2 linked regions of the Mus musculus genome follow. The protein of the gene in region 2 purifies or fractionates together with the protein of the main gene of each other region. This does not show direct contact. Links are inferred from orthologs where the notes say so. Each region holds a gene or a part of one and is shown on either strand. Other genes may lie near its edges. The genes, in order: Pym1 and Magohb.

Region 1 (4,243 bases), on a different chromosome or scaffold from region 2:
AGGAAATAACAATGGAAGGATTAGAAAAGGTGAATCTGAAAGGTGACAGCCCAGCCCAGAGTTAAGACAGTCAGCATTAGGAAAGAAGAAGGAATAAGCAACACAGAAGAGGAAGGAAGCGCTAGGGATAACAACCACAGTCTAGCAACAGACTATCGAGACCCAATATTCAAAAATCTGGACTTAAACAGTGCAACCCACATCTATAATCCCAGTGCTCAAGCCGCTGATGTGAAATCCTGACGGGAGGGAGGAGAGTGACAGACACCTGGCTGAGGCTAAGAAAACAGAAATGACAGGCCCTAATTTTCCAATGAAATATAAAGTAAGGGTATTTGCCACAAAAGGAGGAATTAAAGGGCTAATGATAGAGTCTTGTAAAATAGTCATAAAAGAATTTAGGCTTCCAGGAAGCAGGAATTGGCAAAAAGCTGTAATATTGACAGAAGTTAACACGAGACTGAATCTTCTAACTTCCGATTTTCTTTTCTTAGAGTCTAAAATCAGTAGCCAAGAAAAGAGTTGATGAATATCATTCAAGACAAAGACAGCCACATGCAGTTCTGAACTAAATACCTGCAATGCAGGTGGCTTAGGAGGCGGGGACAAGAAGAACAGGAGTTCAAGGCCAGCCTGAACTGCAAGAGACTATCTGAAACAGCCAAAAACAACAAAAAAACCCAAAAACAAAAACAAAAAAAAAAAAAAAGAGAGAGAGAAGAGGGGGCTAATATGGCTCAGAAGTTAAAACACTTGCCACATTAATATAAAGACCAGTACTCAGATCACCAGCATCCATCCACATTCACACCTGTGGGCTGGTGGCATGCCTACAATCCCAGCACTTGGGAGACAGAGACAGGATCCCAGGAGCACCCTGACTATCTAGACTAGCTGAGTCACCAAACTCTGGGTTAAGGTGAAAGATCCTGTCAGATATAAGGTGGTGGTGGTGGTGAAGTGGGGTGGTCAAGGAAGACACCTGACATCAACATCTGGCCTCCACATGCATGCACGTGCACACAGACAAGTACACGCATTCACACCCACACCCACACCCACACACACAACCAGAAAACCTAAAGAGGGCAAAAAGCTGCCTCTGTGGATTTGAGACTGTCAAATGGCGACTGGTAAGGAGGCTAAAGCGAAGGGGAATACCTGAAAGGAAATGTGTCACAGATGAAGTCCAGGTTGTAGTAATCCTGAGGTGTAGCTGAAAATACAAAGGTACGTCAATGATCTCGTGCTCAGGAACGAGGGGGTTCAGAGCATTCCCAAGCTGCTACAGACAGAATAACAAAAATAAAAACAAAAGGGCTAGAGAGTTGGCTCAGAGGTTAAGAGTGGCTACTGCAGTGGACCGAGGACTTGGGGGTCTGATTCCCAGCACCGACATAGTGGCCTACAGCTCAAACTCCAGCCTCAGATCTAATAGCTCTTCTGACTTCTGTGGTCTCCAACCACACAAATGACGCACAGACATACACACAGGCAAAACATTCACACACACAAAATAAGTCTTTTAAAAAAACAAACAAAAAAACATAATCTGTGGGCAGTAGATAGGAACACTGCCGTTTTGCTAAAATTGCATTTGAAAAGCAGAGAGGCAAAAGAACAGCTTATTTTCCTCTTCTACAGAGCCACAAAGAACAGAAACTATCTCTATAGCAGGGCAGGGGCCAGATGGAATATAAAAAGAATAAGAAGGTACACATTAAAAGCTGCAAACTGCCTGTCATGGTATTAGACGCCTTTAATCCCACAACTTGGGAAGCAGAGGTAAGTGGATCTCTATGAGTTCAAGGCCAGCCTGGTCTACACAGTGAGCTCTAGGCCAGCCAGGGCCACATAGTGAGATCACATCTGGGGATTGGAGTGTTAAAGATGAAAGTTGCTTTTTAAAGGTTGGGCACAGTGGCTCATGCTTTTAATTTTAATAAGGAACATTTAAAGCAAACCAAGAAGCATAAATGGCACATTTTAAAACACACCGTGCATTACCGCACAATCACAGGATCACTTCTACAAAACCCTAGTCACATATGAAGACCAAGATGAAGGCTACAAAAACAGTCACCGGGTACTTGCACTACGTCTTCCAAATATCTATTTGATCATCTCGAAGTCAATATTGCACATTATCCTAAAGACAAGGCAACTACAAACAAGACAAAAACATAAAACCGATTCTCAGCTTCACACACAAACAGCTGACTTCCAACATTTCAGACAGCTCGACTGAAGTGCTACTCAACCTTTAAGAAATCATGGGGTTCTATCAATTATCAAAGACGTTGAGAGAAAGGCCAGTAGATACTTTCCTGTTTGTTTTCTCCCACTTTAAATGGAAAACTCCACCAAGGAGAAAAGTCAAGTTGAAAGTTAAATTCCTCTTCCCTTCACACGTCTGGATTTCAGTGACACCCACCCCCACCCCCACCCAATGAAGATGGGGCAAAGAGTGAAGAAGAAAGCACTATGTAGCAATGAGATCATCAGCAGACACAGCCCGGAGAGAAAGAATGAAAACAGGGAAGGGTAGAGAGCAGGTACAACAGTAAGAAATGGGGGAGGGAGAAAGGGGGTTGGAATTGGAGGGAACTGAGCACAGGAGCCCATAATGCTGGAGAACCTTGCAAAGGTACGGGACTCCAACAGCTAGAAAGAGCTGAAGCGCCTAAGGGTCCCGGAGCAGGGGACATTGGAGGACCCCAGGGTTTGGGAGACCGGAAGCAGAGACCCCCCCCAAAAAACACGAGACCAGAAGGGGGCGCAGGTAACAACCCAAAAGGAATGAATGGGGAAGGCGGTACGGGGGCGTGGCAAAGGAGGAGCCCCGGGATGGGCGTGGCACAAACCCTTTTCCAAGTCCGAACCCCTAACCCAAGAATCCCGGGAGAGGCGGCTCCGCGATCCCCGCACTCACCGCCGGTCTCGTCAGTTACATAGGGAGTCGCCATCTTGAGAACCCGAACCACTTCCGGCGTGAGCGGGCTGGGGTCCCGCCCCCCTCCCCGCCGGAAGTGGAGTCCTCATCCTAGCAAGCCACCATTTTAATCTTAAAGAGAGACTGCACCATTTCTCTGACGCGGGAGGCGGAAAAGGCGAGTGTAAGACGCTCACAGTCATGGGCTCTTAGACTACCACCGACGCCACTGTTGACCTCCTGATGTATATAAAACAATCCCTAGGGCTCGGAGAGAAGTTTGGGCATAAGCCTTATCCCAGACAGTCCTCGCAGGCTCAAGGCCCACCGGGACCCAGCAGGAAAGCTGGTAAAAGAGGAAAGGAATATGCAAGGCCCCTCGCCTGCACCAAACCCTAGGGCGCGTGTTGGCATGGGCAAAGAAGCCCCAGGGATACACGAAAACCCGGGCTAACACTTAAAAGTGGGCAGGTCTACTCGGCACGCCGACCACTCTCGGCCGCCCAGGTTAACTGATCAGAGACCTACGAAGGGGTGCGCAAAGATCGGCGCACTGCGAGTCGGTCACCTGTCCCCGTGGCCTCGGGGGTGCTGGCGGTTTCCATGACTGAACTGGGGCGGGCAGCCCTGGGGATTCAGCGGCCGGCGAGGTAACTTCTTGGCCTGCTGCTCAGTACTGGATCCTCTCGGGTCAGAGGGCACGGGGTGAAGGCTTTTGGGGCGGACCCAGTCAGTATTCTAATTAGCCGCGCCCCACACTTCGGATTAGCTTTGGCTACCGCGAGCAGTTCCACCCTTAAATCTACCGGGACAGTGAGGCCACTCCCTTTGTTAGGTTGTGCCTTGTTCTTGGAAGGAGCGCCAAAGCCCGGTCCGGTCCCTCCCCTCCTCCATCAGCAATTTAGTTCCTCTGGGGCTAAATCCTGTTAAACTTGTTTCCTCTTCTGTCAGGAAGGTGCTGGCTCAAGCTCCTCTCCTCAGGTGTCTGCCCTCCTCCTACAAAGCTTTTTCCTTAACTCTTTCACCCTCTTCTATTGCCCAACTTTGGCTTACACTAACGTCCAACAGTGCCTCTCAAATTGAGAAGTGGGGAAATATTAGTACTTCAGTAGTAGACAATATGTTCTACTTTAAAACAAAACAACCGAGCAGTGGTGGCGCACGCCTTTAATCCCAGTGGAGGCAGAGGGAGGAGGATTTCTGAGTTCGAGGCCAGTCTGGTCTACAGAGTGAGTTCCAGGACAGCCAGGACTACACAGAGAAACCCTGTCTCGAAAAACCAAAAAAAAAAAAAAAAAAAAAAACCAAAAG
Region 2 (4,435 bases):
TCAGACCTCTGAAGCCCCTGGTGTGTGCTTCCCTGCATGGTGAGTCAGTTAGGGGCCCTGATACAGCTGTAATGTCTTTCTCATCTGCTAAACTGACAGGTTACCCTACTGGGGTGTACCCCTCAGGAACTGTAGATCTCATGGTTCATTATTTTCCATGTAAGTGGAACAATGCAGTGGCAGAGACGCATGAGAATAAATCCTTACATAAAATTCTCCTGATACTGTTGGAGGTCTTAATTTGAATGACTCAGGGTGCTAAGAACAAGCTGGTGTTATTCAAATGCAAGAGGAACAAGAACAGAATTACAAGAGGAATAAAATTTTTAAAAAGCAATTAATTTTTTATAAAAATAAATAAAACTAGGGCTGGAGAGATGGCTCAGAGGTCAAGAGAACAGTACTCTTCCAGAGATCCTGCATTCAATGCCCAGCAACCACACGGTGGCTCATGGCCATCCATAACGAGATCTAGTGCCCTCTTCTGGCCTGCAGGTATACATGCCAGTGGAATGCTGTATATATAACAAATAAATAAATCTTAAAAAAAAAAAAAGAAAGAAAGAAAGAAAGAAAGAAAGAAAAGAAAAGAAAAGAAAAGAAAAGAAAAGAAAAGAAAAGAAAAGAAAAGAGAAAACTAGAAGACCACTGCCACAACAACAAAATTTGGGAAACAAGGGTGAAGTTATTAAGTTCTAAATAACAGCAGGAACACTGACTGCTATGCTGACTTCTTCCTAAATGCTTGAAACTTTTGGAATCCATGATCCTCTCCTTACCTATCAAAGAACCTCGTGCAAGTCATGCATAAAGCACTTAAGTAAAACCCATACTGTCCTATAGTAGGTTAAATGTTTGTCTCCCAAGTACCTTCAGCTTTGACATTTATATACTGCCCACTACATAATGAACATTCAAAAATAAAAATTCTTGGTGCAGGTAGGCAGAGCTGTCCCAAGACAGAATTGCCTTACACTACACAGGGAGAGGCTCCAACAAACCCCTGATCATTCTGCTCTCCTCTGGTTTTTCTCTCACCCAGAAACCAAGAAGGTTTCTCAGTTTTATCTCAATCAAGTGTCTCATCTTCTAGGGGCAGATTCTTTTTTGCATGGGGAACTTTGTGAGGGGACAGGGTTTGACTGTGTAGCTCTGGCTTTTCTGAAACTCCATCTGCCCCCAGAGTACTAGGATTAAAGACTCAGGGAAGCTGGGCGTGGTAGCACACGCCTTTAATCCCAGCACTCGGGAGGCCGAGGCAGGCAGATTTCTGAGTTCGAGGCCAGCCTGGTCTACAGAGTGAGTTCCAGGACAGCCAGGGCTGCAGAGAAACCCTGTCTCAACCCCCCACCCCCACCCCAATAAAAAGACTCAGGGAAAACTTTTTTTGTTTTGTTTTTCAAGGTCTGATCATTTACTTCTTTGTCTTAAACACTTACTGTTTACTGGACTCAGACTTAAAAGTAGAAGCTCTCATTGAGGACAGTCTATGTCTCTTGGAAATCTGTTCCTGGTATTTTTTTTTTTTAAGCTTCATTCTCTAGGCCAAAAGTTAAGCTTATTCTGTAGCTACCTTGTTTTTCTTAGTGTGTTGCTTCTTGAGAACAATACATTGGAGATGGTGTTGTTGAAGGACAAGTGACGTAAGTAGATGCTGAACCTTGGGTGCTTTCCTCCTGGATTTCTTACAGCCACTGTTGCAGGGCTTTTCAATAGTTCATTAGCAGACATCGTCTTCTTTAGAGTTACTAAAATGCTTTAAGATTCTGCTAGCTTGTTGGGACCAAAAACAGAGGGACAGGGGCTCAGTCCAGCAGTATCAATATTTTTTTACAATAACCAATTTGAAAGCACTCAGATTGGCATTCATAATATATCAAGAACAGACCTGCAATTCCTCTCTCCAGCTCTCCTTGGTCTATAGAAGTATGCCCCTTACTCAACAGCAGGTACACTCTGCTCTGGGTCAAGAAGCCTTGTTTTGTGGGAAAAGCTTGTTTGTCATTCCCCCAGTCCTTGGTTGTGACTGGGACCACACAACACTTCCCCTCTTCACCCAGAGCATCAGCGGCTACCCCTGTGGCCATTTGCTTCTTGCTGAAAGTATGAAGTTTGTATTGATTGTCCCCTTGAAAGAGTTCTGACAGCTGGTGGCTAGGAAGGAGATTTTCAGACTCATTTAGACAAGGCTGGCCGACTGCCTAGGAGGTGGCACAAAAAGAGCTTCTAGGAGCATTTCCACTGACTCCCTTACCTTTGGCCATCATCCACTAGTGAAGAACTGTATTTCAAACCTGACACATACCACATTCCTGTGTTCAGACACGGGGCTCCTCCCCTATAAAGCAGCTTTAACACATACCATGAATGAACGAGTAGGCCAAAGAGGTCACCTAAAGATTCCATGCATCCTCTGGAGTATCACTTGATAATTCTGTTAACACTCCCGGAGCACAGGTTCTCTGCTCTAAGTTTCCGATTCCTATATGTTCAACTTTTCAGGAGTGGCAGAATTCGCTTTTCTGAATTACTTTACAGCATTTTTTTCCCTCTCACAAACATAACCCATGTCTGCTCTCACAAATACAGCACAAGCCTGCTACAAAAGCAAAGTCTTCCAATGTTGGAATGAAACCCTTCAAGCCCTTCTGGGAGTCTGGGGCATGGTGACACGCCTGTCATCCCAGCATCCCAGAGGCTGAAGCAGGAGGATCGTGAGTTCGAGGGCGGCTTGGACTACACAACAAGGCCCTTTCTCAAAACTAAACAAGTAAATTGAAATAAAGAAGAAAGGAAACACACACACACACACACACACACACACACACACACACACACACACACACACGCTGAAACCCGCTCCCTGGGCGGCTCGCCCTCCCTCGCAGCCCCTCCGCCGCTCACCGTCCGGCCGAAACTCGAACTCCAAAAACTCGTGCCCAAACTTGCCCTTATGCCCGACGTAGTAGCGAAGGTAGAAATCACTACCCATAGACATTTTTACCCTCGGTAAAGCCCGCTATACCGCGGGGCCAACGTGCCGCCGGCGCGAGGTAGTGACGTCACGGGCGCAGGCAAAGCGCGTCACCAAGGGCGCGTTTACTCCGGTAGGGAACGAAATCCCGGAAAACTGAAGAGGAAGCAAGAGACCCCCAAGAGAACTGAAGGTTCGCATTGGAGCCACCACGATCTCGAGCGCTTTTTTTTTTTTTTTTTTCTTTTTTTGGAAAAGATTTTCATGTCTTCGATTTTTACGTTTTAACTCTGTGACGATGTTATACACGTACATGATGAATTTTAGTCGCTCCCACCATGTTATCTTCTCTCATCCCTTCTCCGCTGAACCAGTCTTACCAATAAGCCCTCCTGTACGTTTACGCCTTGTTTTTGTCTGGGTTGAGGGGAGGCTCACCGAGTTTAATAAGGGTGGCTTGCATGAGCGCGTTGGTGGATACAAAGTCCCGGATTTCATTTTGGCATTCTATATTTTGGTTGAGCCACACTCCACCTCTTCCTCATCTACTGCCCCCAACCCTTGGGCCCAAATTATTCCCGCTGCACTTTCTTGTTAAATGTATCCTGTTACACTTCCCACTCTATTTCTTTAACCTACACTCAGTATCCTCTCTGGTTTAATAACCTACACTCACTAGCACATAAATACACTCATACAAAAGCTAAAATTCTATACAAGATTTGTCTTAATACTTCATCATTACCTCACTATAATAATTGCCAGATTTGTCCGTTTTCCTGTATATTTTATCTTAGCAAAGAAATAGCTAGGGATTTTGTTTCTTTGTTTTCTTCTCGTTTGTTTAAATGGGCTTGGAAGGAACAGATGTAAAACCACTTTTACTTTCGAGTTGCCCTATGCTATAGGTGTGTCTTTTTCTGAGTTTTGAACTAAGGTTTACAAGCTGTACTTATTGTGGGTATCTCTGATCTCGAAGCACATTGTAAAGTGGGGTGTGACTCTACTTCCTGAAACTGGTGAACTGAGAAAAGATACATTCCGGTGGCAACCAGAACACAATCTACCAGAGTCCCTTTTGGTAATACTTCAAAATTTCCAGTAGCTAACAGCCCAGACGGAGACACAGAGTAAAATGAATCTGTCTGGTGGGAGTTTGATGTTTAAATAGCACATGAAACTGAAAAGTCCAGATAGTCATCATAGAAGAGTTTTTCATAGTATACTACAACTCATGAGTCACTAAGGGTTAATGGTTAGTACCCTATATATTTGCAGGGCTAGGTCACAGTTCTCAACAGTTTGAGTTGGAAAAATACGGAACATCCAAGTGTAGTCTTGAAGAGCACAAAATGACAGTGAACTGCACCCAGTTCCCTCGTTCCAATTCCTGATCACCTTTCTTTTAGCACCACTGAGTAATCCTATCGGTGACTGATGGCCTTCTGTCACAATCCTAAG

The links.
Region 1: the proteins of Magohb (region 2) and Pym1 purify together in Homo sapiens (co-immunoprecipitation; 3 studies listed by BioGRID and IntAct, with this or other methods). This does not show direct contact. The link is inferred for Mus musculus from reciprocal best matches to the Homo sapiens genes MAGOHB and PYM1.

What each region holds. Positions count from the first base shown.
Region 1 is NC_000076.6:128,747,256-128,751,498, reverse strand, and holds the start of Pym1 (partner of Y14 and mago), read right to left. Parts: upstream 3,045-4,243; 5' UTR 2,967-3,044; coding exon 2,933-2,966; coding exon of another isoform or gene 2,865-2,932; intron 2,829-2,864; exon of another isoform or gene 2,709-2,828; coding exon of another isoform or gene 2,639-2,708; intron 1,217-2,638; coding exon of another isoform or gene 1,162-1,216; intron 1-1,161. UniProt on the Homo sapiens protein: Key regulator of the exon junction complex (EJC), a multiprotein complex that associates immediately upstream of the exon-exon junction on mRNAs and serves as a positional landmark for the intron exon structure of genes and directs post-transcriptional processes in the cytoplasm such as mRNA export, nonsense-mediated mRNA decay (NMD) or translation.
Region 2 is NC_000072.6:131,290,168-131,294,602, forward strand, and holds the start of Magohb (protein mago nashi homolog 2), read right to left. Parts: upstream 3,078-4,435; 5' UTR 2,999-3,077; coding exon 2,905-2,998; intron 1,774-2,904; exon of another isoform or gene 1,574-1,773; intron 1-1,573. UniProt on the Homo sapiens protein: Required for pre-mRNA splicing as component of the spliceosome. Plays a redundant role with MAGOH in the exon junction complex and in the nonsense-mediated decay (NMD) pathway.